4 linked regions of the Tamandua tetradactyla genome follow. The protein of the gene in region 4 interacts with the protein of the main gene of each other region in a pairwise test. Links are inferred from orthologs where the notes say so. Each region holds a gene or a part of one and is shown on either strand. Other genes may lie near its edges.

The links.
Region 1: the proteins of PRKAB2 (region 4) and CRX interact in binary tests that used the Homo sapiens proteins (3 or more experiments, as listed by UniProt). The link is inferred for Tamandua tetradactyla from reciprocal best matches to the Homo sapiens genes PRKAB2 and CRX.
Region 2: the proteins of PRKAB2 (region 4) and MAGED1 interact in binary tests that used the Homo sapiens proteins (3 or more experiments, as listed by UniProt). The link is inferred for Tamandua tetradactyla from reciprocal best matches to the Homo sapiens genes PRKAB2 and MAGED1.
Region 3: the proteins of PRKAB2 (region 4) and STX19 interact in binary tests that used the Homo sapiens proteins (3 or more experiments, as listed by UniProt). The link is inferred for Tamandua tetradactyla from reciprocal best matches to the Homo sapiens genes PRKAB2 and STX19.

The regions. Positions count from the first base shown.
Region 1 is NC_135342.1:13,270,843-13,278,770, reverse strand, and holds the start of CRX (cone-rod homeobox protein), read right to left. Parts: upstream 3,014-7,928; 5' UTR 2,870-3,013; coding exon 2,814-2,869; intron 1-2,813. UniProt on the Homo sapiens protein: Transcription factor that binds and transactivates the sequence 5'-TAATC[CA]-3' which is found upstream of several photoreceptor-specific genes, including the opsin genes.
Region 2 is NC_135353.1:118,152,758-118,160,045, forward strand, and holds the start of MAGED1 (melanoma-associated antigen D1), read right to left. Parts: upstream 3,007-7,288; 5' UTR 2,929-3,006; intron 1-2,928. UniProt on the Homo sapiens protein: Involved in the apoptotic response after nerve growth factor (NGF) binding in neuronal cells. Inhibits cell cycle progression, and facilitates NGFR-mediated apoptosis. May act as a regulator of the function of DLX family members.
Region 3 is NC_135336.1:56,226,719-56,234,066, reverse strand, and holds the start of STX19 (syntaxin-19), read right to left. Parts: upstream 3,005-7,348; 5' UTR 2,937-3,004; intron 2,929-2,936; exon of another isoform or gene 2,740-2,928; 5' UTR 2,691-2,739; intron 1-2,690. Other genes in the region: ARL13B (ADP-ribosylation factor-like protein 13B), read left to right, coding at 6,632-6,737. UniProt on the Homo sapiens protein: Plays a role in endosomal trafficking of the epidermal growth factor receptor (EGFR).
Region 4 is NC_135330.1:96,050-103,459, reverse strand, and holds the start of PRKAB2 (5'-AMP-activated protein kinase subunit beta-2), read left to right. Parts: upstream 1-4,404; 5' UTR 4,405-4,582; coding exon 4,583-4,738; intron 4,739-7,410. UniProt on the Homo sapiens protein: Non-catalytic subunit of AMP-activated protein kinase (AMPK), an energy sensor protein kinase that plays a key role in regulating cellular energy metabolism.

The sequences.
Region 1 (7,928 bases), on a different chromosome or scaffold from region 4:
ACGTGGAGCGGGTTCTCCCCTTTAAGAGGAAGCCTGGTCCTTGATTTTGGACTTGTAGCTTCCAGAGCCAGGACACAATAGATTCCTTATTATTTAAGCCATCTAGGCTGTGGTACTCTGTTACAGCAACCCTGGAAATTAAGAGAAGCAGCATAAATGGAAGCCTGTATCACTATTTTATCCTTATGAAAATCTGATCCACCATTCCCCTTTTTTGAGATCTTTTCTTCCTTATGACCACAGGAAAAGACGTTCGGCTTCAGATACAGAGGGCGGAGGTTGACCAGTTGTCCTGGGACACAGGTGGGCTTTCAGTGCTAAAGCTGTGCCAGTCCGGTAAGCAGGGATGGGTGATTGAAAGCCAGCGAGCTGCCAGGCTGGCTGAGATATGAGGTCGCTAACTCTTAGCATTGCCTCCTTGGGAAGAAGCGTGCTCCCTGTGTCAGGTGGTCGCAGTGTGGATTGCGTAAATCGCCACATTTCCTTGGCCCCAGTAACTTGCCTTCAGGGCGTACCTCAGTTTCCTTGTTGTAAAATGGGATGAAAACAGCATTTACCTCTTTAGGTGGTTGTGAAGATTAAAGGGAATTAACACGATTAAGGTGCTTAAAATAGCACCCAATGCTTAGTAAGGCAATTATTTTTGTTGTTGTTTGCAAGCAGGTCCTTTATACAAGCATTTTAAACCCAGGATATTTATGATTTCCTAAGAGTGCCAGAAACCTCTAAGACTTGCAAAAGAGAAAATTATTAAGAAAATAATGGCACATCCACACAAGGGGAATATTATGAAGTCATGAAAAAGAGTAAGGCTGTTCTCCATGAACTGATTTTCAAAGATCTCTAGGATTATTTCATTTTCTAGGGAAATGTTGAATTTATTATTGATTGGGGTAGACAGTGTCAGGTAGATGATAACTTCTAGAAGTTCTGGTTGCAAATGATTTCTATCCGGTAAAAAGATAACCTCAAAGATTGCAGTTTTATTGGTTGTCCTGTAGAACTTTAACAAATTTTGTGTTGAACCTGGCAAATTTTTTTTCTACATGCCTTTTCTTGAATAACTGTATGAACCTCTGTTCCTTGAATTCTCATTTGAAACAGCAGGTTCCCTTCTTAGTGAGCTAAATAAATCCCTGACCTGTGTTTATTATATAGGTATTTGAGAGTCAAGTTTTTAGCTTTTTCAGAATTACACCTTTATAAGAGGTGTGTGTAATAGATGTTATGTATAATCAAATTATACATAACATATAAAATACATAACATATAATACATATAATACACATTTTATATACATATATACATGACATATATTCAAATAAAAAGTATGGTACTGAGCAGTGTGTAGCATATGCTACTTTTTGTGAATTTAAAAACAAGGCAGTGGATATATATATATATATATGCACATACATACACTATATATATATATATATGGTCTAAAGATTGTTGTATGTGTATAAAAGTGTCATATGATATATGCTTGTATATGCATAGAACAAAATCCAGGAAAGAAACAAGACATTGGCAGAACTGATTGCCTCTGGAGAGGTGTGCTGTATCCACTCCCCATTTTTACAGTTTGGATTACTTTTTAGCCCTGTGTGCCTGTGTGTCACCTTTGCAGATGCAAAACCAACAAGGAGATCTCAAAACACAACCACAACTTGAAAACTTTCCAAGCTCCCTATGGCCCTGGGGACAAACATCAAACCCTCAAGATGGACCCAGGAAACCTGTCAGCCTTTCTGGGTATTGGCCTCAGCCGCTCCCCACATCAGAAAGGTTGAGATAAGCCCCCTTCCTCTACCAGGTCCCTCTCACTCAGACACCATCTCTCACCCTCTACATTGGGCGTCACATACACGCCGGCACATTTTTTTCTCTCTCTCCTGTCATTCAGGACATACCCTATATTAAATAGGACATACATGTTTGTTTGTCTGTCTGTCCCCCGATTCTACCAGCAGGGACTAGACATAACTTTTAGTTCAAGCATCCCCAATAAATATTTGAAAAATAAACAAATGAATAAAAAATGGATGGCATTTATTTTAGCACCCACGACCCCCTCTCTTCCATCTTATCCTTCACAGGAGTAGGGAGAGGTCCTACTTACTAGAAATTAAGTTTCTCCTGTTCATTGTGTTAAGTACCGCTGAGGGTCCGCCTGTTTTAGGAACTGGGAATATCATGAGAAATAAAACACACGTCATTTCTGTTCTCACACAATTGAACTTACGGGTTGCAGTCAGAGAAACTGACGATGAACAAAGAGATAGATTTTTTGAAAATCAAGATGTTTTCAGATGGTTTTTAGAATGCCGAGGGAAATGCCGGGTGTGGGAGGCAGGACGGTGACCAGATCTGGTGGGAGTGGAGCCCCATTTGAGGGGGGGGTGGTCTCTCCGGGGAGGTGACACCGGAGCTGAGATGTGACAGCCCACACGCCCACCCTGGGAAGATCTTGGCAGAAGGAACAGCAGGTGCAAAAGATCAGGAGGCTTCTTGGAGGACAAACAAGGTGTCCAACATGACAGGAGCAGAGTAAGCAAGTGGGAAGCGGAGTCGAATCAGCAGGGCCAGGAGGGACGGGCATACGAAGTTCTGTGCAGATAAGGACGATGACAGCACGGAATCCCACACATCCAGCCCTGGTAGCCAACCTCCAAGATGGTGCCTGACCATTCTCTCCTGACCGTCATACCCTGAGTACTGGCCTCCATGGCAGAGCTGACCTGCGTAGCCAACAGGACATGACAGAAATCTTATAGAAATATTACAGCCTCTAACTTCTGAGGCTAGAAGACCTGGTGACATCTGCCTTGCTGTCTTTTCCTGGATCGCTGGGAAAATCAGCCGCCATGTTGTAAGGATGCTCAAGCAACCCTGCAGAGGTCTCTGTGCAGGGAAACTCCTGCCAGCAGCCACGCAAGAGGCCACCTTGGAAGAGACTCCCCCAGCCTTCATCAAGCCTTCGAAGGACTGCAGCCTGGTACACATCTGCCTGCCCCCCTTGTGAGCCAGAACCATCTGGTTAAGCCACCCCTGGATTCCTGACCCCCATTAACACTATGAGGTAATAAATGTTTAATGTTTTCAGCCACTGAGTTTTGGGGGAGTTTGTGACACAGCAATAGGTAAGTAATACACAAGCGTCCCCTTTGCAGCATGCCATTAAATGCTCAGCACAACCCTAGGAGGTAGGAACTGTGTTATTATTTTGCCCACCTTTTAAAGATTATTTAGTTTTTAGAGCAGTTGTAGGTTGATGGAAAAAATCATGCAGAGGGTTCAGAATTCCCGTATACTACACACACACAGATTTCACCATTACAACCGACAAACCAATATTATTATATTTCAATTATTAACTAAAGTACATAGTTTACACTAGGGTTCATGCTAATGTTGTACAGTTCTGTAGTGGTTGTTTATTATTATTACTATTGTGGTAACACATATACAACATACAATGTCTCATTTTAACCACTTTCAAGTATTCAATCCAGTGTATTAATTTCATTCACAATGTTGTGTGACTGTTGACACCATCCATCACCAAAACGTCCCATCACCCCAGATGTTACAGATGAGAAAAGACTCCTGGATCTGGCAAAATGACTTGCCCAGTTTCCTAAAGGAATCTTGGGGACCTGGGATTCCTGCTCTCCCAGCTGGGGACCCTTCTGCCCTCGTCCACTCTTCCAAGGAGCAATAGTGCTTGATCTGAACTTGTGGAGAGGGGAACTGGTGGACTTGTCCTAACAGGCTCTGGGAAAAAGCACCAACTTCCCTTGTCCCCATCGTTGAATCTGCACAGGTTACTCAGCTATGCAGTTGTCCTTCCAGGACGTTGGGATGAGCCCATTCCACCAGTAGGGAATCTGAGGCTCTGAAGGAAGAAGGCGCCTGCCCAAGGTCCAGCAATGCTAATGGCAATGACCTCCAGGAATTGAGGGTTTACACACTCACCAGATATCCAGGAACTGGTGGGTGGACAAGATGTCAGCAAAGACTAGCAACAAAAAATAATGTCTAACACCCATTAACACTCTTGTTGTGGGTTTTGCAAAGAGGTGAGGCAGCCGGTGACAGAAGGAGCTCCAGGAGTTTGGAGCTTCTCAGATCCCCAGCCAAAGGCTTTGTGTCCAAGATCTCAGCAAGGCCACCCCCTTCCACCAGGAATTTGCAACGAGCCTGACAGCACCCCGAGTGGCTAGGTTTTACTATCCTTCAGTCTCGGTTGTATTCCAAGACAACATTTCATTGTCCCAAAGGGTGGAGCGAGGGGCGACCCCTGCCCTGGGGAGCAGCCCTTGAGGCCTGAGACTGCTTCTCAGAGCTCCAGGTATCGCGTGTCCCAGGGGTCCCGAGTTTCCCCTGAGCGCTTGATCTGCAGGCTAAGTGTGAAAGCTGGAGATAAACCCCTCCTGTAGGTGGAGAAACTGAGCCCTGGGGCAGGAAGGTGCCTGCCAAGGTCAGGAGGCTGTTAACGATAAGGACCTCCAGGGATTCCCGCCTGCACCAGGCCTTGGGGAGGAGACAGCAATCCAGTGAAAGCCCCCTATGGGGTGGGTCCTGTTGTCACCAAGGAGGAAACCAAGGCTGGGAAAAGGAGGGCCCTGGGGCTGTCACGCAGGTCAGTGGCTGACCCGGCCCCTCCCCGAGCCTGTGGCCCTCCTGGCCCCTGAGCTCCCAGGACTGGCTCAGAGTCTACCCTCACTCCCTCTTGCTGCAGCCGCAAAATCTCAATGACCCCTGCATACGCATTTCTTGGATTCTATTTTGCTTATTCACCCGTCTGTCTATTCAGCCATTACAGAGGCGGCCGACCACATGCCCAGGTCCTTGGAGGAAATCTGGGTTCGGTGAGGGACACAGATAATTTGTGGATAAACTCACAAGTGAGTATGAATTCCAAGCAGTGATATGAGTCTTAAAAGAAAGGGAGGCAGGCTTCGGAGTTGCCTGTGAGCAGAGCCGAGGAGCCCTGGTCCCTGAAAACCGATGGAGCGTCACCTTAGCACCTCACCAGCAAGCACCACCCCCCAATCCTCTCTACCTGGTGGCAGTTCCCCCATAGTCTACCCTTACTCCCTCCTGCTGCAGTCCCAGCCCAGCCCCGTTTCTCCCAACACCGGGATGATGCCCCTGCTGCAGGTGGGCTCAGTCAGCCCACATTGAAGACCCCCTTTATGTCAGACCCCACGCCGGGCGCTGGGGACACAGGCACAAAGAAGGCAGACACCCCCTCCCCCATCCCCGTCTCCTTCCTTTGGCCCCACTGCCTGCCTTGCACGCACTCACCTTTTGGAAGGAGGGATCGGGGACTCTCCCGACGGCCCAGGTCCTGGACCAGTCCTCAGGGAACAGAGACCGAAGGAAACGGGACCCCTCCCACGGAGAGGTTTTAAGCCCCGACTGGGAGTGATGTCACTTGCCGTGGCCTGGTTCTCGGAGGGTAATCCTGGCCAGGGTGGGGGAGCGCCTGGGCACCGGGAGGTGACATTGCCGGGAGGGGGAGGGGCACCCCTCTGCTTAATCCTCTCCCATCCCCCTCCAAGACATCTTGGCAATTAGGGCTGACGGGGAAGGACAGCCCCAGCTCTTGCCTCTGGCCGGAACCCCCCCACCCCCACCCCTCAGGGAAGTTCTTCCTTAGGTCTAACTGGTGGCTCTCTAGCTTTGGCCATTGTCCCAAGGAGGGGGATGAGGGATGCATCAAAGAGGACGGAGGGGAAATGTTGGGTGCTCCTGGGAGATCACTTGATAAAACGAGGGGCACAGGGACTTTCTGGACCCCTCTGCTGAGTCCCCCTTTTGCTCCAGCAGTCTGCCTGCCAACAAATTCATTTCTGCACTGCCTTGCTGTTTCAGCTTTCTGCCTCAGTTTCCTGTTTTTCTCTTTCTCTGCCTTGGTCTCTTTCACTCTTCTTTGTCTCTTCGGCTCTATGTTGTGAATTATTAACTTCAACTCTCTCCATTTCCTCTTTGCTCTTCTCTCTCCTCTCTCCTTCTCTCCCTCTCTCTCTCTGTCTTCCCTGCCCATTGGCTTTGCGTCTCTGTGCCTCAGTCTCTCTTCTGTCCATCAGGCATGTCGGTCCATCTCCCTGTGTGCACTCTTCTCACCTCCTGTCTCTCTCCCTCCCTCTGTGATTCTCTACCTCTCTTTGGGTCTCGGTCCATCTCTCTCTGTCCCATGCCACCCCCTTTCTGTCTCTCTCGCTCAGCCTGTATCTCCCTGCACCCGTCTTTCTCTTTGTCCCTCATTTTGCTGTATTTCTCCATCTGCCCCATCCCCAGCTTAGCCTCACCGTCTGTCCTTTATCTAACTCCCCTACCCCTCTCAACCTCCAATCTTCCCGTTTCAATCTTTCTTTCCCCGCATCTTTCTCTGCCTCTTTCTTTCTTCCCCTGTTAATTTCCCTTCACGTCTTGTCTTTCTCCCTGCCTTGGCGCCTCCCTTGCTCTGTACTTCTGATTTCCCCCATCTGTCTTCTTGGGCTGTCTTCCCCCTGTGCTTCTCTCCTCAAGTCTGACTCTCTGGATGTTATGATCTCCCTGAGCCCCGGGCCCCCCTATGAGTCTGCTCTCCTTCCCCACATGCACACGCGCTTGCACACGCACGTGCGGTCATCCCTCTTTGTGACAGGGGCATTGTGTCTGACTCTAGGAGACCCTTTCTCTTCCCAGCCCGCCCCACCCCAGGGCAGCCTGCTAGGAGGGGTCACGCCCAGCAGCCTGGCTGGGGAATCAGGGCAAGTCTCATCAGCTGGGGAAGCCAGGATGGGAGGGAGGGAGGGGCTTTCTGACCCTCCGTGGCCCTGTCAGGACCCTGCTGGTGCGAGAATCCCGGGCCTTCTGGCCCGCAGAGCAGAGGAAGGAAGGGTGGCCCGGGGGTCCAACCCAGGGTGGAAGGTAGGTTTCGGATGGTCGAGCGCAAGGTCCTGGGGTCACCAGGCTCACCTCACATCCGGGACAAGAGGAGCTCTTTCCTTCCTTCTCATCTGTACCCAGGGACCAAAGCGGAAACCTGAGCATTAGTCTTCCCCCGGGGACTTTTCCTCAACCCTACAGCCAATCCATCCGCAAGCCCTGTCATCGCTCCTTTCACACGACTGGCCTGAAAATTGAAAAACATTGCTGAGAGAAATTAAAGAAGACCCAACTCAATGGTGAAATATAGCACGCTCATGGGTCGGAAGACCCAATATGGTTTCTCAAACTTAATCTTTAGATTCACTGCAAAACCCAAATCAAAATTCCAACAGGATTTTTTTTTTTTTGTAGAAATTGACAAGCTGATTCTAAAACTGTATGGATAGGCAGATGGTCTAGATCGGTCAATAAAAACCTTAAAAATATCAAGAACTTATACTATCACACTTCAAACCTTGTTATTATAAAGCTACAATAATCAAGATAGCTGGTATTACATAAAGATAGGCAAATGTATCATTGAGAAAGACCAGGCAGTTCAGAACTTGACCAAAAATTTAAGGTTAATTGATTTTTGACAGAGGCCAGTGTATCAGAGAAAGGAAAATATTTTCGATAAACAATGCTGAAACAGCTGGTTATCACACATAAAAAAAATACACCTCGATCCTTCCCTCACACCATACCCCCAAATTAGTCTGAGGTGGATCATCAAGGCAAAACCATAAATCTAGACAAAAAAGCAGAGAAATATTTCTTGACTGGGGGATAGGCATCCGTTTCTTAGGACACGGAAAGCAGTGATCATATAAAAGAAGATTGATAAATCAGACTTCATCAAAATAAAAAAAGTTTACTCTCCCAAGGACTCCATTAACTTAAAGAACTGCAAGGTACAGTTTTCCAGAAAGTATTAGCAAAACATCCCTTGCAAAGACCTTATTGAATAGATAAGGTTTCTACCCTACATCTCAGTAATAAAA
Region 2 (7,288 bases), on a different chromosome or scaffold from region 4:
GGGTACAAGAAGGGCTTTCCAGATACAAATTGTTGATCTTCATAGTGGTTACACAGTTGTGTTCTCTTTGTGAAAATGTTTTGAGGTGTACACTTATGATATGTGCATCTTTCTCTATGAACTTTAAGTTTACTTAAAAATAACACCTACAATTTTCAAGTGGTTCACTAAACCAGATAAATAAAAAATAGATGGTTGGATAATTGGATGGATGGATGGATGGACAGGTGAAGACAGGAAGATGACAGATAGAGGAAGCTAATATAGCAAGTTTAAAATTGTTGAATCTGGGTTAGAGTATAACAGTGTCCACTGTACCCTTCTTTCAACTTCTGCTTGACTGAAATTTTCAATAAAAAATATTAACCTAGAGACAGATTTTGGGCTGCTAGGCCATCTGCTCTCCTACTACATGCCTAGCAATAAACTCTTTCTCTCCTTGAAAAAAAAATACTGAGCTAAAAATACTCATCATGTCTCTCAGCACTTAATATCTGTAAGTAAGGAGTACTGTGAGCACCTGATATATTCTGACTTGTGAAAAGAAACTAATATAAAAAATGAAACGCCTATACCCAGACTGACTGTGTTTCATAGAATAATAAAATAAAATATTCTGCATATTTCCTATTGCTCAACAATAAACAGAGAGAGGGAGAGAGAGGGAGAGAGAATTTGCCCAGGACTGAGAGTCTGACAGACCCTAACTAGATGAATTCTTTTGCCACCATTTATCAAGTTACCATACCCCTCTGAGTCTTATTTTTATCATTAGTTAAAAGACAATGATACTGAACTTAGAGGATGACTTTGAATATTAAGGGAAAAACTATATTTAAAAGCATCGGGAGAACAGACACTGAATTCCTTTCAATTACCATGTCAAACATTTATGGGCAATATTTTATGAACATGGAGTGATAAAAATCAGTAGGAGAGTAAGCAAATGTGCTATAGGATCACACACAATGCATCACAAAGAGAATGGGAATGAGGTGCAGATGGAGACATGCTGGTGGCCAATAAAAAAAAAGGAATATGGGAAAATTATGAGGACGGATCCAGTTATTCAAGTATAAAGAAGGTTCCACTATGACTCTGCAGAAGGGCTCTATGATAGGGTGTGGGAGAGGGAGAAATGTAGAAGGCAGAGTGAAAAACAAAAGCAGAGCCCCTGACACAGATATATTCTGTTTCCCAGTAATATCTGAATAATTTGTGCCCTCACTTTCTTCAGGTCTCTGTTGAAATGTCACCTTACCAGGGAAGTCTTCCTGACCATCCTACATAAACAGTACAACCCACTCCCATCATAATCTATCATATATTTATTACATATAAATTTACTTAAAAGACTTTGTTTATGTTTTTCACTGCTGTATTCTCAGAGCTTCGAATACTGGCTCATAAAAGTATTCAATAAAAAAATTATTGCATGACTAAATGGATGGTTGCAAAATGGGTTAAAACCAGTATGGTGACATCTAAACGCTAAGTAATAAAGATCTGAATAGAGAATAAAGATAGGCCAACAACATTATCCTTTGAAAAAGTTTCTAAGAGTTTTGGTTCCATGAAATCTCTGCCTCGTATATTCTAAAAACTGAAAATTAGATCTAGACTAGAAAAGAGAATCACAACTTATTTTGGCAAGCATAACACCCACTAATTACAGCAGGAAGAAGAGGAAGGAGTAACTTGGTTTTCAAGATCTTTGGTTAAATATCTCTTCAAAGCTGAAAATTCTTTATGAAGATAAATTTAACGATCCGTTCCCCACTCTTGGGTAAAGAATTGAAACAAAAAATTGTAATTATTAACATTCTCACAAGATAAATTTCACATGATGACAAACGGAACAGAAAGACACATTTCACATTACAGCAAATTTTTTAGAAAAAGATAAAGTTCACATCGCAACAAATAAATCACATTGCAAACAAATAACACTTGCAAACTCCTGGGGGAAATCTTTGTCTAAAAAATCTGCCAACTTGCTATTCAATATTGCTACCAGAGACCAGAAAAGGATTTGCTTAATAAACCCAACTTACATGAGGGAATATATTTATGATTAGATGTCATTCCTGTCAGCCACTTCTCTAAGAGAAGTACTAAAGGAGATGGGAAAACTTCCACCTCCAAACTGTGACACGCAAAATCCTCTGTATTTGCCCACACAAAAAAAATTGGGGGATTCAATTTTATGCCATCATGTGATAAAAATGCCACGAGCAGAAGGCAACAATTGTTGTGTAATAATGTTTAGAGTAAAAAAATAAAAGGACATAATAATTTGAACAATTCTTTATGTCTCTTAGGACGCTGATATTTCTGCTTCCTTGCTTATTTTTTTTAAAGAACTAAAAAAACAGCCTTGACTCTGAAGAGGTCAAGCTTGATTATGGAAAATATGTTATTCGCTGACCTCGGCAAGAGGAAGAGAAGAAAGATAAGGAGCCAGCAGAGGGAGTAAAACACTGAGGTCCGAAGGAAGAATGACGCTCAGAGTAGGGGACAGGGGTTGCAAAAGGTCTGAGGCAGAAAGGGGGTGGCGTGGAAGATGGCGGTGGGAGGTAGGAAAGAGATCTGTGGGAGAGGGAATGACTCAGGATCAGAAAGATCCAGAAGAGGATCCGGGATAAGAAGAGAGGTGAAAGAACACGAACGGGGATCACAAGAATAAAAGGCGCACCGCAGTCAGGAGGGGGGATGAGAGCCTGCCATTCCTGAAGCGCGACTGGGGCGGGTGGGGGAAGGGAGCAGCGCGGCGATCATAACCGGAGGCGCCACAAGCTTTCTTCACTCAGTGTATTCTGGAAAATGAATTCCGCTTATTTCCACACCACGTGGAGGCAAGGAAGGAAGCTTCCAAGGGTCTACTGGGTTTCATTTGTGAGATTTATCAGTCCCCTTCTTTACACTCACCTTAACGAAGAAAGCGGCGACGACAGCGTGACCGGAAGCACTCTTTTTGTTTGGCGGAAGCTTTACCTTCTGCAGCCTCTTCCCCGCCTCCTTCATTCCAAGCAACTTCCTGTGTCTCTCGTAGCAAGTTCTGCAATATATGCTTTAGCTCATAGGCTTTCTCACCAGATCAGAACCTTGGATAGTTATGTAAACCGAATTGACCAGAGAATCAGTAACATTTTAAAAACCCTTCCCTAGTTATCCAAGAAACCCAGAAATTCTTTATCTCTGCCTAACCCCGAATATGCAATGTCACCTCACCTTGTTGATTCTGCCTTAGATATATCTCCTTTCCCCCTTACGCCCTTAATCCAGGACTCATTATCTTTTTCTCCTATGTCTACAGTTAGATACTTATACTCTTTTGTTTCATGGCATACTATTTGGAATAAAAGTTCATTTTTATTAGAGATATACTTTGATTTCAAGATTTTGTAAGCTTAAATTTGAATCATTTTTGTCTTACATGATGTATATAAATTTCCAAATGAGTAATGGTAAACTTGTTTAGAAAGCATTCATCCTGATTACTCTGCAAAAAGAGGAAGAAAATGACAACTGACAAAAATATTTGAGTAATAAGAATAACCCTTATTCTGTTTCAAAGACTTACAGAATTATTTATTGCCACTACCTACAGAAAGCTCTCCCAAGCCCCAAATTTGCACACCAATTCTCCATTTTTGTGTGGTCATTTTTCATTAGTCCACAAGTGTATACTAACCGCCTACCATATCTCCAACACCATACAGTACCTAAAGGCATTCTACTAGGAGCTCACAGTTTGGTATGAATAAGTGATCATAATGTATTCAGGGCAAAGTCAGGGACAGCACAAGATTCTTGTTTTTGCTGATATTTGTATAATTCCTTTCAAAAATTTCGCTCACATTTTCTCATTCAACCAACAGGTTTTGAGCATCTACTCAGTGCAAGGTTCTGTGACTGTTACTGCCTGTACAAAGAAGAATAACACATTCCTGGATTCCAAGACTCTACACCCAATGGGGGAGAGAAACAAATAAATACCAGGACTGCAATGTGACAATAAAACTTAATAAAGAGGAGACAATGCAGGAACTATGTCTATTGACTCATGAATTTTGGACGCCCAAAAGAGACTTTATCTCCTACAGAGTGCACAATAAAGAATGGTCGAATATTGAATAAATGAAAGGGGAATGGCAGCGGAGATAAAGCACACTGTAAAAAGAACAATGGTGACCAGCATGGCTGCAGATATGAAAAGAGGCCATAGAGGCATGAATCTTGTTTACCATGTTATGGAGTTTGGACTTAACTATCAGGAAAACAAGAAGCCAAAGAAGGATTTTAAGCAAAAAAAGCGTGTATTCATGAGACTCAGAGTTAGAGCTCTGAAGCTATGAAAGTCAGCACCACCCCATGCAGGAACTGTTTATAAAGTTGAAAAAGGGATCAGACTTCGAATAGAGATATGAATGAAACTGATTTGGATAGGATTAAGGTATATCAAAATGCAGGGGAAAGGATGATATCATCCATATTTTATAACTTCAATTTCTGTCTAAGACTAAAGAGAGAAAACGTTATTGGGTGCAAAATTTTTATTTTGGGTAGTGCATTTCCTAATTTAACTTGTATGGTAAGTTTAGTTGGACACAATAAGTACATGAAATCTTGAATAGAGCATGACATTTTCTTGGTTTGTTCAGGTTAATGTGGTGCCCCAATATATCCCAGAGTATTTGGGGCAGTGAATAAAAAAGTATTTGCAAAGTCCCCTTAGGGGACTGGGGAGAAAAGAGGAAATATTCACCTTCCCCATTTGGAGAATTTCTGATATTCTCACAAGCAGTGGGGACAGGCAAACCAATAGGTCCAGCCTTCGATCTTGGGGTTTGCCCTTAGGAAACATATTCTGCAAAGGATAGGCTAAGCCTACTTAAAATTAGGCCTAAGTGTCACCCCTAGAGAACCTCTTTTCTTGCTTAGATGTGGCCCCTGTCTCTAAGCCAGCTTGGCAGGGGAAATCACTGTCCTTCCCCCTGTGTGGGACATGACTCCCAGGGGTGTAAATCTCCCTGGCTATGTGGGACAGAAATCCTGGGATAAGCAGGGACCCAGCATCAAGGGATTGAGAAAGGCTTCTTGGCCAAAAGGAGGAATAGAGAAATGAGACAAAATAAAGTGTCCATGGCTGAGAGATTTCAAGTAGAGTTGAGAGTTTATACTGGAGGTTATTCTTTTATTTTATTTTATTTATTTTATTTTTTATTAATTAAAAAATTAACTAACACAACATTAGAAATCAATCCATTCTACATATGCAATCAGTAATTCTTAATATCATCACATAGGTGTATGGTCATCATTTCTCAGTACATATGCATCGATTTAGAGAAAGAAATAGCACGACAACAGAAAAAGAAATAAAGTGCTAACACAGAGAGAAAACACAAATAAAAATAAAAAGTACAAAAATATATAAGAGAAAAAAGAAACAAAAAAAAAACTATAGCTCAGATGCAGCTTCATTCAGCGTTCCAACATAATTACATTACAATTAGGCAGTATTGTGCTGACCATTTTTTTTTTTAAGAAATCATACCATTCTACATATGCAATCAGTAATTCTTAACATCATCACATAGATGCATGATCATCGTTTCTTAGTACATTTGCATCGGTTTAGAAGAACTAGCAATATAACAGAAAAAGATATAGAATGTTAATATAGAGAAAAAAATAAAAGTAATAATAATAAGAACAAAACAAAACAAAACAAAAACCTATAGCTCGGATGCAGCTTCATTCAGTATTTTAACATGAATACTTTACAATTAGGTATTATTGTGCTGTCCATTTTTGAGTTTTTGTATCTAGTCCTATTGCACAGTCTGTATTCCATCAGCTCCAATTACCCATTATCTTCCCCTGTTTCTAACTCCTGCTGAACTCTGTTACCAATGACATCTTCCAAGTTTATTCTTGAGTGTCGATTCACATCATTGGGACCATACAGTATTTTTCTTTTAGTTTTTGGCTAGATTCACTCAGCATAATGTTCTCTAGGTCCATCCATGTTATTACATGCTTCATAAGTTTATCCTGCCTTAAAGCTGCATAATATTCCATCGTATGTATATACCACAGTTTGTTTAGCCACTCGTCTGTTGATGGACATTTTGGCTGTTTCCATCTCTTTGCAATTGTAAATAACGCTGCTATAAACATTGGTGTGCAAATGTCTGTTTGAGTTTTTGCCCTTAATTCCTTTGAGTAGATTCCCAGCAATGGTATTGCTGGGTCGTATGGCAGTTCTATATTCAGCTTTTTGAGGAACCGCCAAACTGCATTTCACAGTGGTTGCACCATTTGACATTCCCACCAACAGTGGATAAGTGTGCCTCTTTCACCGCATCCTCTCCAGCACTTGTCATTTTCTGTTTTGTTGATAATGGCCATTCTGGTGGGTGTGAGATGATATCTCATTGTGGTTTTGATTTGCATTTCTCTAATGGCCAGGGACACTGAGCATCTCTTCATGTGTCTTTTGGCCATTTGTATTTCCTCCTCTGAGAAGTGTCTATTCAAGTCTTTTTCCCATTTTGTAATTGGGTTGGCTATCTTTTTGTTTTGAGTTGAACAATCTCAGTATAAATTCTGGATACTAGACCTTTATCTGATATGTCGTTTCCAAATATTGATTCCCATTGTGTAGGCTGTCTTTCTACTTTCTTGATGAAGTTCTTTGATGCACAAAAGTGTTTAATTTTGAGGAGCTCCCATTTATTTATTTCCTTCTTCAGTGCTCTTGCTTTAGGTGTAAGGTCCATAAAACCGCCTCCAATTGTAAGATTCATAAGATATCTCCCTACATTTTCCTCTAACTGTTCTATGGTCTTAGACCTAATGTTTAGATCTTTGATCCATTTTGAGTTAACTTTTGTGTAGGGTGTGAGATATGGGTCTTCTTTCATTCTTTTGCATATGGATATCCAGTTCTCTAGGCACCATTTATTGAAGAGACTGTTCTGTCCCAGGTGAGTTGGCTTGACTGCCTTATCAAAGATCAAATGTCCATAGATGAGAGGGTCTATATCTGAGCACTCTATTCGATTCCATTGGTCGATATATCTATCTTTATGCCAATACCATGCTGTTTTGACCACTGTGGCTTCATAATATGCCTTAAAGTCAGGCAGTGCAAGACCTCCAGCTTCGTTTTTTTTCCTTAAGATGTTTTTAGCAATTCGGGGCACCCTGCCCTTCCAGATAAATTTGCTTATTGGTTTTTCTATTTCTGAAAAATAAGTTGTTGGGATTTTGATTGGTA
Region 3 (7,348 bases), on a different chromosome or scaffold from region 4:
TATGTCTTTATGTATTTTTTTTGAACATTTAAATATATTTATGCTAGAGATCCTTCACATTTTTCAGCTATTTCTGGTTTCTCAGGTATAAATATAAATTCCGTTGTTTGTTGTGTTTGCTGTTCCTCTTGTTGGGAAATATTCTGAGTCTATTTTTGTGGTTATCATAACTTGGGCCCCTTGGAGTTTACCCACTGTAGCCTGAGTGATATAAATATGGGCTTGATTTTTCTCTAGCAATTTTTTATAGTCTGGAGGGGTAGTATAGGTTATAAAATCCTGAGTAAGCTAACTGAGAATCTTGTTTAAGCCAACTGAGAATTTCCTCTCTGTGTATGAAGAATATGCTCTATTTTTCCTAGTACAGGACTACATCTAGGAAATCCAATTTTAGTTTCCTGTTTAGGCACAAACTAACCCCAGCTTCTAAGGTGTAATATTTGCTTTCAGTAGGCCCATGGAGTTAACTTCAATTTCTATTATGCGCTTCGACTATTATGAGTATATTCCTTCTTCATTTTTGGCACCTGGAAATTTTTCTCTCTTACTTTCAAATTTAATGAGTATTTTAAATTTTGTCTTTTTTTTTTTCCTTAAGGTTAAGATTGTATCAAAAATTTCTGTGTGTTTGGAGCAGGAGGAAAGAATTTTTGTATCTGTACATTTGAACTAAAAGTCATAGTTTATTATCATTATAGAATTAAGATAATTTTTCTGTGCTGAAATTGACTGACTAGGTACTTAGATGCATCTGCATGCTGTATATAAATTGTATTTTCTGGTAGTTGCATGCTTATCATTTCATGTATAACTATTTCCAATTTTATTGCCTTATCTTATGTCTTCACAAATTGAAATTAGATAAAATGAGACATTAAACTTATTAGAATTTAAGATTAGAAGAGACAGAGTTCATAAAGATAGAAAAATACTAATCTTATAGTTGTGAAATAATTTAATTGCCTAGGTTAGATAAAATTGAGTAGACCATCATTTTACACAATCTTTTCTGTACCTTAAATTTATTTTCTTAATGTTGGAAGTGTTCTAACCAAATATGAATCGTCTTTCAGCATGTTTATCTTACTGCATTGCTATATAGAATTCTCCTAGCAATAACTTAATATATCTTTGAGCTTAAATATGCTGTTTGAAAACAGGAAATTAGAACACTAATTTATACATATGGTAATAAATTTTGACAATTTGTTCTGAGAGATAGGAAAAAAAACGGTGTGACTCAAATAAAACTTTCCCCACCCTATTATAGATAGGAAACATTTCCAAGGACAGGAACAGGAATAAAAATTACAGAGGGCTTTAAGAGAAATGTATATATATCTATTTATACAAAATATGTGTATATATATATATATATATTTTAAGTAATACATTCCTTTCTAGAGCTATTCTATTTAGTAGCATAGTTCAAGAAATATAACTAGTTTTTATCCAACATCAAATACTCTTTTGCTTTTGTGTATGAAGATAACTTGCAAATTTCCCTAGTTCAAGGTGAAAGAAGCTGAAAATACTGGAATATTACTCTCTGGTCACTTAAATGAGGGCAGAAGAGTGGTTTCTATAAACAGACTAACAAAATTATTGTAAATTGCAAATCTTCTTTCTCTGATAATTTAAATTATCTGACTTTTTTGTAACATCTTTAAATGCTATTTATTTACTATAAATAATTGTAAAATGGTAAGTTTATTTTTGCTTAAATAATAAACTCTTGTTTAATTTTGAACTCCCACTTATCTCATTCAAGTAAACTGTATATACACAGAATGGCCTCTGTGTTAAATTTAGAACTGTGTAGCCATGAAGGTAAAATGTTATTAATCCTAAGTATTAAATGACTAACTTTCAAGTCCAACTTTAAAGCACTTATTCAGTCACTATTATTTTAATTTCAAATATGTTGCTTATTGAATCCTAACCTGGTGATAATTATATGATAACTTTAAACAAATGTCAAATAATAAAATAGGCTCAGACTAAGTGTCTAAATATTGTTTAATTTTGAAAATATCAGACCTATCTAAATATATTAAATTTTTCAAATTATCAAATCAAATATAATATTTATATTGTATAATTTGAGTACTTTCAATACGCTAACAAACAATAAAAAGTAACTGGGTACTGTGATATTTTACAGTGGTCTTTTTACAATTAAGATTATTTTCTAAATTCTTCAAATTAATTTTAAAAATTCTGGGAAACCACATTGAGGAAATTAAGACCTTGTAGAAAATTAGCTTAACTATAAAGGTTAAGCATAAACTTTTGAGGGTTAAATGTAAAGGTGTTCTTTCAGGCAAGCACAGTATGTTTAATTTACAGTCTGTTTATAAAAGAATTTGTTTGTTTTTATATGACCTGGCTTTCTAGTGTTTCCAAAGTGAGAAGTTGTTTGGTAAAAGACTTTAAAAAAAAAAGTCCTTTCCTCTGAAGTTGATTTTTGTTTATAGTGATATATTTCTAAGGGCTGTAAATCCAGTACCCAAATCCCTTTCTGTAAATCAGTAGCATATAGGAACAAATCAGCTGCCTATAGCCTGGTCCAAATCTGAGCAAAAGAAGTAACTTTCATGATCTTTTGAGCTGTTTTTAAATGTCACAGTATAATCAGATTTCAGTCTATGGGTGTCTGATATTTAAAAGTGCAAAAAAGATTTATTTACCTTTCTGTCTTGTTCCTTTTGTTGATTTTCCACGTGCGATGTTGGAGTCCTGCTTTGGAGAGAAAATCTGAGTATTATCTCATGTAATGGTTTGATCGAATTATTTAAATCTCCATCCTATAGTTCACAGGCTAATTTCTGTATGATTTCATACAGTTAGTTTTACTGAAAACCAAATAATGAGGTCAAATAAGTTGGAGATAAAGTTCTTTTGCTGTTAATACTGTATAAGGATAAATTGCTTACTTCACACTTGGAGAATCCGGTTCTGCCTGTTAGACGCCCATTCTTTAGCTTAAAGATCATTTTCATTGGAGCTAGTCGGTAACAGGAAGTCCTTGTTAAACTGCCTACATGGAGTACTTGGCACAACTCTGTAATCGTAGTTATACATTATATAGAAAAACATTCCTCACAAAAAATGACTTTGTGTTTAAACAAGGTTACTTTTTTATTTTCTTTAGGTATCAAAACTTGCAAAGATGTAGAATTTGGAATAAATAGGAATGAAAAGAATCTTGATGTGTAGGCCTTTTTTTTTATTAACATGAAAATGATTGAATTCCGTTCTATTTTAGGAAGTCTCATAGAGCTTAGCTCATAAAATCATAAAATTTCATAACTAGAACAGTCAAAAAAAGAGTTTGTAGCTTAAAGCCTTTCACCTCACTTTTCATTTTACTGTATCTGCTATTTTAATTTCAAGTGACTTTCTTCCATAGTTTTCTGTATAGAGGAACTGAAGTTATGCAACAATATATGTTAAACAATTTCTTTACTATAATAATCTAACAATTCAAAATTTATATTTGCCAGAGGATAAATATTTATAGGAAAAAACAAATGAAACTTCTCTTATTCTATAAAATTCCTTACCTTCCTTTTTTTATTTCTGAGTTGTTATGATTTTGGTAGGGGAGGGAGGGAATACAAATATTGCTATAATATATACCTAAAAAATGTTTGCATTTGTTCTTTTACTTAGTCGTTTCACTTCTTGGAATCTGTTTCCAAAATAAGAAGTGACTTCTCATGCACCTATTCTTCACAGCACTTTTTGTAAAAACCAAAGACTGGAAACAACCCAAAAGTCATTCAGTATACTGCTGGTTGAATAAACAATGGTATATCCATACAATTGAATATCCAATGGTATATCATTATGCAACTATAAAAAGTAATCAAGATGATTTCTTTATACTGCTATAGAACAATTTCAGGAGTTAATGTTTACTTAAAAAAATGTTATAGTGCAGAAGAGTATATAGTATCTAGCTTTTGAGGAAGAATGACAAGTCAATAGCAGTAGATATACTTAGTGTCCATATTGTGATCTTTAAAATATCGTTTCCTCCGTATAGTTATTTATAGTTTCAAAAGTAAATAATGAAAAGATAAACCATAAACTAATGAAAATGGTTACCTTTAGGAGAATAGAGGAAAATAGAGGGGGGGAAAGGGACAAAGATGGAAGAATATTCTCTCCAAAAGCACCTTGTTTTTATAGTTTTCAATTTGGAGCCATATAAATGTTTTAAAAATTAAATCTTTATTTAAAAAGAAAGTGTTTCTGAAGAAAGCAGCCTGAAACAATTGAACACAGCTGGTGGCATAACCACCCAGAGAAATATTATTTCAAGTAATTTTTAAACTCAGTATTTTGACTGTATCTTTAGTGAAATATATCCTAGAGACAAAAATAACTTCAAAGATCTCAACGTGCATTTAGTAGTCTTACTTTCAGTAACAATATTGCTATTATTATATTGAAACTCTTACTTAAATATATTGTAGATAAAGCAAATAGTTATGTCATTGCAAACCATAGTTTCCAACATAAAAGAAGAAGAGATATAAATAAAATCTAAGAAGCTAAACAAAAACTTGGTAATATTGGATTTGAAATAGAACAATCAATATGAGCTCATGATGTATTTATTTATTTTTACAAAAACCTACATATTTTCTAGCTTTGTCCACTGAAAGGGTCTAGAAATAACAATATTGTCAATAACTGAATATTTATAGTCCACCTATTGTGGCTTGTAAAATGCCATTTACCGCTGAAAGGAACTAGGGCCTCTTAAAAAAATGGATAATTCCTGGTCTGGGAAATTGTTTTTACAAAAAAGCAGAGAAGTTATTTATTGGAATTGGACCAAAAGGACACAGGAGCTCATCTGAAAGAGACTGCCACTGTCAAAAGATGAGAAACATGGAGTCTCAAAAAGAACAGCAACTGCTATTGCTTGAAACGTACCAAATATATTTTAATGTCCATGAGTTATAATGATGCCCTTGGAGAAAGCAAAAGAAAAACGAAATAACTTAATCACCTTTGGAGATTGCCTGAAGACAAATTCATTTTCTCAATTAGGAACTGAAGGGAAGTTTCAAACCCTTAACTTTTCTCTATGAATTTTATTTAATGGTTACCAAGTAGTTGATGAAAGGGTTTTTGTTTGTTTTTTAGCAAAAATCCTGCTCATAAATGCAGAAGGCATATAGAACTAAACTTTAAAAGTCACTGTTTTATAAACTCTAGTAGAATAATGGAACTAAGCAAAGGCAAACAATAGCTGCTAAAATCATTAGGTGAAAGGTTGATAGGGAACTTTATTTTGGATGGATCAGTCTGACTGAACCCACTCAGCAATATTAATGTCACTAAAAGTGAAGCAACCTGATATATACTTCCTAAAATGTTAGCATCACGTATGAAATATACTTGCCATAAGAATTCAACCTGGAACTCATCCAACCTCTACATCTATGAGGTGTAGGAAATGCAGGCTATGTATGTAAATCCCTCATGAGGAAGATATCAGCAGAATCTCAAATGTGAGAAATTCCGTAGGAAAATGACTTATTTTCTACAAATAAATGTCATAGAAGAAAAGAGGTGGTGGTGGTGGGAGGTAGCTATTAAAAAAGACTTGAGAGATAAACTGCAGTTTCTTCATCTGGTTTGGACCTGATTTAAAGATTATTACTTGTAAAAAGATACTGGGGAATATGAATGAATTGAGTAATATTAAGAATGTATTATTAATTTTGTTAGTTGTGATAGCAATATTGTGATAATATATATATATACATATATATTTTAATTTTTTAGTTTTCAGGTGAAAAGATATGTCACCCAATTGGAAAAAAGTGGAAGATGTGTAGATGAACAAGAATAACTCAATGTTGATAGTTTTTGAAGTTGATGATAGGAGTCTGTTAGACTTATTTTATGCATTTTTAAAAGCTCTATCCTTTCTTAGAGTCTGTTAAATCCTAACCAATGCTGTAATTCATTAAACTTTTTTACCTTTGCCATGTAATAGGCAAATTCACTTTATTTTATTGTAATTCTTATTTCTCTTAGAAGCTTATTTGGATTTTAAATTTTGTTGTTTCCTAATTTGTTCCTAATTGAGTGTCATATTTTTTATGTCCAATGCTATAAATGACATGTAAATTAGATATAAATGTCTCCCTTGTCCAGTAAATTGCACATTTATTTGCACATATACACACATGTTGGAAATGTAGATGAGCTCAGATATTACAAACTCAGAATGAACATATGAAAGATTTGGACACTTACAACATGATGCAGTGTATTTTAAGATGATAAAGATGCAATATGAAAGTTGGAATTGTTAGACTGGGGGCTGTGGAAAATAATTCACTGTATTTTTCTCTTTGTAGTTGTTTTTGTTTCCCTATTCAGTACTAACATTTTCTTGATAATTTTCCTTTATAGTCTTGTTCTTACAAAATTCATTTTCACAATAATAAACAAATGGAAATCATGAAATAACTACTAAAATATCTTCTAAAACCAGTGTAATCAGTAAGGTTAAAACTTTGAATGGAAGAATATTATCAAAATATTTTTAAGTGGCATCTGATTATCTATGTCATAAAACCTACTTCACTTGTCTTTCTAGATTGGCAAATAAGCAAGACAAGGAAGGGGCTTTAGGAGAAGCTGATGTGATTGAATGTCTGTCTCTAGAAAAATTGGTCAATGAACACAAGTGCCTTTGTCAAATAGTAAGTTTTTTTCTGTCCTTTGAAATATGTTCAGTACAATTTTTTTATGATGAATGGTGGTAGACACTTACCTGAATCACACTGTCAGTGTTCTGTTGATATACTGGAATATTTTCTATTTCATACTTACTGACTTCCATAAACTATTCTTCAAGATTACAGAGATTTTAAGATTTGCTTTGTGTATAAGGTTTTAAGATACTGCTGACAGTACCTCTTAATTATACCAGTATGTCATGCTATAAATTTTGTAAAATGGGAGAAGGTATAAATACAAAATTTAAACAAATGAAAAGATTATCATGAGTTTTGAAAAAAATCATCTCAGGAGATTTATCATATAACCTTAAGGAAGATGATCAGAGTAGATTTAATCATTTATTTTGTTTCCATACAATGATCATTAGGCTATCAGTCTTAATACATATTTATTGCTGTAAACTTCCTGGTATAAGGAATTAAACCTTCCTCATATTCATTTTTATAAGTGGATGCATTTTTTTCCTGGTAGTTCAACTTTGTGTTCTGATGATCTCGTTTGAAATAATAAATGATGCTATAGACTTCTTGCATATAGAAGCTTACAGATACTTTCTGTAGCTTACAGATAT
Region 4 (7,410 bases):
ACAGCAGAGATGGGGTGCATAAACAGAAGTGGCAGCAGTGCCTAGTGGAAGTGGGGAAGGCTGGGAGACTTTTTTTTGTAAATACATGAGGTTGCTCTAGGAAATTCTCATTGGTAACCCAAGGAGGCTCTATAGGTCACTAGGATCCTGCAGCTGATGACAAAGCAGTGAAACTGAGTTTCTACTGTCACTGTGATCCCACTCTAAACCCCAGACAGGTGTGCCCTGGAGAAATATGATTTCATTCAGGGTGATGTCCTTGAGTCATTAAGGAAAGATACAGCTATGTTCACTGCATGTGTTAAAGAAGACAGAAAATTTACTTTATGTTAACAATTTCAATATTTTTTAAAGTTGAGACAAAAACATAACCCTATGTGTGGTAGATCATGTAGATGGCTGCAATAATAACTCTCGTACCACATGCTCTTTTATGAGTGAGCTCACCACTGTCTAATCAAGAGGTGAAGTCTATTTCCCCTCTCTTTGAGTTTGTGCTGGCCCTGCTACTACTTTAGCCAACAGAATGCGGTGGGATGGATATCCTGGGTCTTCTAAGCTTTTAGCACTCCGAGGTAAGGCAACCACCATGTCAGAAGTCAGACTAACCTGAGACTGCCATGCTATGAGATAAACCAAGCTAGACTCATGGAGAAACAATAAAGAGAAAGAGATGCCCAGTCAGCCCCTTGCTGTTCCAGCCATCTCATCTGAGGCACCTGACATACGACAAAAGAAATCATCTAGGACATTTGAGCCTCAAAATATACCACATGAAGCAGAGATGAACCATCCCCACTGATTGTTATATAACTGTGAACAAATAAATGATTATTGCTATTCTAAGTTAGGTTTGGGGAGCTATGGAATAGAAAACTGAAACTCTGCTTCAAGGAAAACCCATATGCTTTAGTTTGTAAACTGCTGGAATGCAATATACCATAAACAGAATGGTTTTTAAAATTAGTGGGGAAAATTCTGGACCTGTAAATTGGGTCCCTCCTCCTTTCATTGGGCAGTGCATGGCCTTCACTACCACTTCTTAGTTTGTATAAAAATATAAATTCAATGGTTCATTTTTAAAAATAATCAGTTTATGCAATGGTCAAGCAATCTTTGTATAGAAACTTGTATCTTTCCTCTTGCTAGAACTAATTTTGATAATTATATTAGGTTGGACAGATTGTTTTCATTATTTTATTGAGGTATGATTTTCATACAGTACAGTTTTGACAAACACATATATCACTGCAATCAAGATACTAGAACTGTTCCATAACACACCCAGCCCCCCCAAATTCCTCATTGTGCTTTATAACCAACCACACCCCCACCCACAACTTCCAGTCACCACTAATCTGTTTTCTGAACCATAGTTTCGCTTTTTACGAATGTCATACAAATGGAATCTTACTTCTTTTGTTAGTCTAATGCATTTGAGATTGATCGATTGTGTTACCGGTATCATTTTATTCCTTTTTATTGCGGAATAGTGTTCCATCGTATGGCTAGAACACATTTTATTTATCAGTTCATTACGGGAGGGAGTTTGTTTTTGAATAAAAACAGGTAAGTCATAGTACACATAAACATTTGTGCACAGGTTTTTACGTGAACCTGTTTTTATTTCACACAAATAAATACCTAAGAGTGGAATTACTAGGCTGAATAATAAGTGTATGTTTAATTTGTAACGTTTATACAAAAGAGCCGATTGCTTTTTGAAATGAGAACCACCAAGACCAGAGGTCACATCCATTCTTGATCACAAATGAGGGGTGACCCCTGGTGAGCAGAGATGGGATGAGAAAATCAGGCCCTCAAACCAGTCTAACTTTTCATCTAGTTCTGTAAAATCAATACACTCTTCCTCCAGCCTCACATCCTCACATCTCAGAAGAAGCAGGACAACTTTAGTACCTTTACTGTGCTGTGAGGCCCTCCCATGATTTATTTTTCTCAATCTGTGAGGTAGAATGGCTCATCAGAGATCTGGCAATGCCTTTCTAGATATAGCAGTAGCATGGGGACCCTCACCAATTACTTTGCCTATTAACTATTTCTTTTCCTTCCATCCTGAAAGAAAATGGAGCATTTGAGATAACAGCAATAAAACTACTGCCATGGTTTAGGGGTGCTTCTTTACCTGGTCATCCCTGAGTCTAATCAAAAATAATAATCGGGGGCTAGGGAGAAGTACCTAGCCCTTCCTACAGTGTCACACTGCTTTCGTTTTGTGTCTAAACCATGCACTATGCAAAGAGGACTTTTATTTTTAACTGTTGATTGATTTATAAATGCTATTAGTGCAGAACAATGTCACGGATAATCCCCCCAAAATAATAATAATAGAAAACAGTTCCATTTGGTTTTGAAATACGGTAAATTGTAAACAGTTTATTTCTCTTCTTAAGTTTTCCATAGATTAATATAATACTAGGTTTGCTTTTCCTAAACTCATGGGACGATGGCATGGATATACATATTAGGGACACATTTAGCATGGAGAAACTAGAGTCTGAAAACTAATTCATACACAAGTCAAGATTTAATGTATTATTCCTTCAAGGGACTTGAAGGAAAGCCTGAAAGGAACTAGGGGGATGATGAGCGTTAATCAAACAGAAGTACTTATCAAGATTTAGAAGGAAGCTGTAGCAAAAAGGGTATTTTCTTCCTGCAAACTGCCTTTGGTCAAGAGTCAAAGGAAGTCTGACTGGAGAAGGGGCATACCACAGAAGAATAGGGGAGAAGTGGATTCGTTGAAGTAAAGTGAATTTCCAACTTCATATAAAAATGTATTTTTCCACCAATAGAGCTGCTTACTCAGAAAATGCAGCCTTGCTGTGGCTCGGTGGTCCCCATCATCGGCTGGGTTTAAGTAAGACATATAGTGATCATTTGCACACTTTCTTGCGCAAATCTTTATTAAAAGCTTACTCTGCACATGATTCCGTATGGATCATGAACAGGAATCAGAACTGAGCCTGTTCTGCCGGTTTTGATATTTTTAATGTGCCTACACATACCAGGGAGATGTTAGAATGCAGACTCTGAATCTGTAGGTCTGGGATGGGGCCTGATTCTGTATTTTAATCCGATTCCAGGCGACACTAATGATGTCTGTGGATCACCAGTGAGCGGCAAAGGGTTCTAGTAGGAAATGAGACATGCATATAATTATAATTACAATACAAAGCAGTAATTAGTCACCAGCACAGAAGCTCCATTAATTATCAACAAAAAGCTAAGACGGTCTTTGCCCTTCTATGCAACCACTGTTTCTTCTGTTTTCATTAATGCTGTTTCTTCACTACTGTTCCTTCTGAGGCTGCTGTTGCACTCGCCTTAGCCTACAACAGCCTTCCCCCTCCTCTCCTTGGACTAGCATTTTACTTGTTTTTCAAGGTCTACTCCCCTACCACTCCTTGAAGCCTTCCCCGGGGCCGCAGTCGGTTAACTGCCCTTTCCACTTGTCGCTCCAGACACCACCCAGCGTAAACCTGGGGCCGTAACAACGCTTCCTTCTGCCGGGACGCGGAGGCCCGCTTTCTCATTCCCCGCCCGAACCCGACTTCCCAGCGGTCGCTCATCAGCAAGACACCGCCCAGAAAACGCTCCGGAGACCGGCAGCAGGCAGGCCCGACGCTCGCGGCATGGCGGGCGTCCCTCAGCGCCGCCGTCTCCTCGGCGCCCCCGGGCCCTGCCCCCACCGGCGGGCGGCTCTGCCGAGCGGCCCATCATCCAGCGGCGGCGGCTAGAGAGGCAGCGGGACCCGGCGCCGCGAGAGGCGGCCTCGGGGAAGGGCGAGGCGGGTCCTGCACGGCGGGCCTCGCAGCCACTTCAGGAGGAAACCCGGGTCCTCGCCCTGGGCGGTCTCATCTGCACAGCAGCCATCGCACCAGCGGCCCTGGAGGAGGGAGAGCATCGCGGAAGGTGATGGCGAGCGGGGGCGCCCGGGGGCAGGGAGCACGGGCTGGCGGGGGCGCCCGAAGGCGGCTCCGGAGGAGGAGGGGCCTGTGAGGGGTCGGGACGCCCGAAGGCGGCTCCGGAGGAGGAGGGGCCTGTGAGGGGTCGGGACGCCCCAAGGCGGCTCCCGAGGGGGAGGGGTGAGGGGAGGGGGAGGAGGAGGAGGGGCCTGTGAGGGGTCGGGACGCCCGAAGGCGGCTCCCGAGGGGGAGGGGGGAGGGGAGGGGGAGGAGGAGGAGGGGCCTGTGAGGGGTCAGGACGCCCCAAGGCGGCTCCCGAGGGGGAGGGGCCTGTGAGGGGTCGGGACGCCCCAAGGCGGCTCCCGAGGAGGAGGAGGGGGAGGAGGAGGGGCCTGTGAGGGGTCGGGACGCCCCAAGGCGGCTCCCGAGGGGGAGGGGGGAGGGGGAGGAGGAGCCTGTGAGGGGTCGCGGCGCCCGAAGGCGGCTCCCGAGGAGGAGGAGGAGGAGCCTGTGAGGGGTCGGCGGTTTCCGGCGCCTGTGGAAGCGCGTCCTGGCCCGGCCTCGGCCGGCCTTCCTCTGCGGGGTTCCCCTCGGGCTCTCGGCGCAGGCCCGGCCGAGCCGTCTCCATCCTAGGTGGGCCCCGCGCGGCGGCCATGGGAAACACCGCCAGCGAGCGGCTGTCCGGGGAGCGCCACGGCGCCAAGGCTGCTCGCGGCGAGGGCGCGGGCGGCCAGGCCCCGGGCAAGGAGCACCGGATCCTGGTGGGGAGCACGGACGACCCCAACGTCTTCAGCCTGCCCGACCCCAAGGTGAGCGCCCCGGCCTGCGCCGCTGCGGTGCGCCTGGTTTCGGGGCGCCTCTTCCTTCTCACTGGTCTGGGTTGAGGGTTTTTTTAATTAGACAGATTTTCTGGCTGGCCTCTAGCGAGGCAGCCTCAAAAATAGCATAAAGAGGTGGAGTTATTTTCCTGGTTTTCTGACCAATCTGTGGCCGCCTTTTAGGACGGGACTAACAGACCCCCCAGACCCCTCGTTCTTCTGGCGGGCCTGGGGGCTCTTCTGGAGGACTGCTGAGCTGGACATGGTTGCGGAGCTGCTGCGCACAGGCGGCAGTTCTCTGCCCCCGAGCTGGGGAATGGAGCTCAGCGCCTCTCCCTCCGCCGCTCTGGCCGGGCTCTCAGCCGGAACCGTGCTCGTGGAACCTTTATCCTGTTGGAGACCAGTGAAGGCCGGCCACACTGGTGACTGTCCACTCTCCACCCTGCGCCTTCGAGTGGGGTGCCGAGGCAGTGCTGCTGCCGCGTCCAGGCCCGCGTGTTCGCGCGTCTCGGCTTCCCCGCAGTACCTCGGCGTGGCCACGGCTCAAAGAGACCCACAGCTTCCCTGGAAGGTGGTGACTGCCCCGTGCTTGTTACCATCCTGATGCCTCCGTCCGTTTTGGAGTGGTTAGCATTGACTGTCGGTCCTGCACCCCGCTGGCCGCCTCGGGGGGGGGGGGGGGGGATGGTGACACGGGAGGGGGGGAGGTGGCGGGTGTTCGGTGACTCGTCCTGCCCGCCCGCTGCCCCCGAGCCGGGCTGCCGAGAGTGGAGGCCGTGTCTCCAGCCACACTGGTGGCCTCTGAAATTGGGAGTCCGTGGTGCTGGTATTTTCTTGGATCCTGATTAAGAAAATAATCACAGAGAGAAACGCATTTCTGGGGGGTTCTTTACCCCTCCTTTTCTCCCTGCCCCACATCAGGACTACTAAATCCTTTAGGCTGTCTACACAGCCATTAGATTATACTCAAGGTGACGGGCCTCATTGTATTTTTAACCTTTTCTTACGCTGAAGACTCGGGATTTAAGTTTTTTTTAAAACTATGTGGCCTTAATTAAAGCCACGCTTGCTGTCTTTGAATTAGGGTCAGTTTTGGATCTTTCTTTCTCTCACCGCAAACTTGCTATTTGTGAAGTAATGGAATTATTTTAAGTAATTCCTAAGGTCTCTTCCAAATAAAATTCTGAAATTCTGAATCTGTCTTCTTCATTTCTTGCCTCAACGTTTTTTTTACTTAAACGCTTTCAAACTCGAGACTAGTTGTTTTGCTTCTGGGAAGTTTTGCTGACTAACTTGGGAGTAAACAGTCTTTCTGTTGTCGGCTGTCCTCGTGCCTCCCTCAGAGATGCCGTGTCTTACGGGAAAGGGCCTTTCTCCAAAGCTAGGCATATTAATAGTTTATGCCTTCATATTTTAAATGTAAAATCCAAAGGCATAAAAGTAACTGATAGAAAGGGTGATAGTGAGAGTCACTAAGGCATTGTCAGCCTTCCTTAGTTCGGTAGTTCCTAATTCTCTTTGTACCTTTACATAAGCCAATACCTTATATAATTGGAAGTTTTCTTCAGTTCTCTCTCCATTTACTTTGGATTGTGTTTCAGAGTGTAATTTTGAGGAATATCAAGAGACAGTAGAGAAGGTAAGCTACTGCAACCATTTTGGAAGGAAAGCCCAAATGAATAAGTCATCCTTTTTTTGTTTTGTGTTCCAGTAAAGTTTTATTTGTGGACACAAATGGATTCCATATCATCCTTTATTTTTAACTAACATTATTTTTTGTGGTAATTTTTTTTCCTTTTCTATGAAAAGTAATATATATACAAAAAAGCAATAAATTTCAAAGCACAGCACTATAATTAGTTGTGGAACACAGTTCAGAGTTTGATATGGTTACAGTTCCACAATTTTAGGTTTTTACTTCTAGCTGCCCTGAGATACTGGAGACTAAAAGAAACATGAATTTAATGATTCAGCACTCATACTCATTTGTTGGACCTACCTTCACTGTATAACTCCACCATCACATTTGATCTCTCTCCTACTCTTTAAGGGTATTTGGGTTATGCTCATTCTAACTTTTTCATGTTGGAAAGGTCTGCCACTAATATGGGATAGGGAGATGAAACTATCTGATGTTCTGGAGAGGCTGGGCCCTCTAGGTTTCAGGACTTATCTGGTCCAGGGACCCATCTGAAGGTTGTAGGTTTCTGGAAAGTTGCTCTAGTGCATGGAACCCTTGTAGAATCTTACATACTGCCCTAGGTGTTCTTTAGGATCAGCAAGAATGTTTTGGTTGGGGGTTGGCAAGTTATGATAGGTAGTAATGCCTGACTGAAGCTTGCCAAGAGTGACCTCCAGACTAACCTCTAAACTCTATTTGAACTCTCTCAGCCACTGATACTTCATTACACTTCTTTTCCCCCTTTGGTCAGGATGGCATTGTCGATCCGACAGTGTCATGGCCAGACTCATCCCTGGGAGTCATCTCCCATGCCTCCAGGGAGACGTTCACCTCTGGAAATCATGTCCCACGTATTTACCTATTTACTAAAGCTATTTAATCCAGTCTAAAGAGGGGATTGGCAAATTTTTTCTGTAAAAGTCCAGATAATATTTCAGACTTTGCAGCCATATAGTCGCTGTATAACTACTCAGTTCTGTGG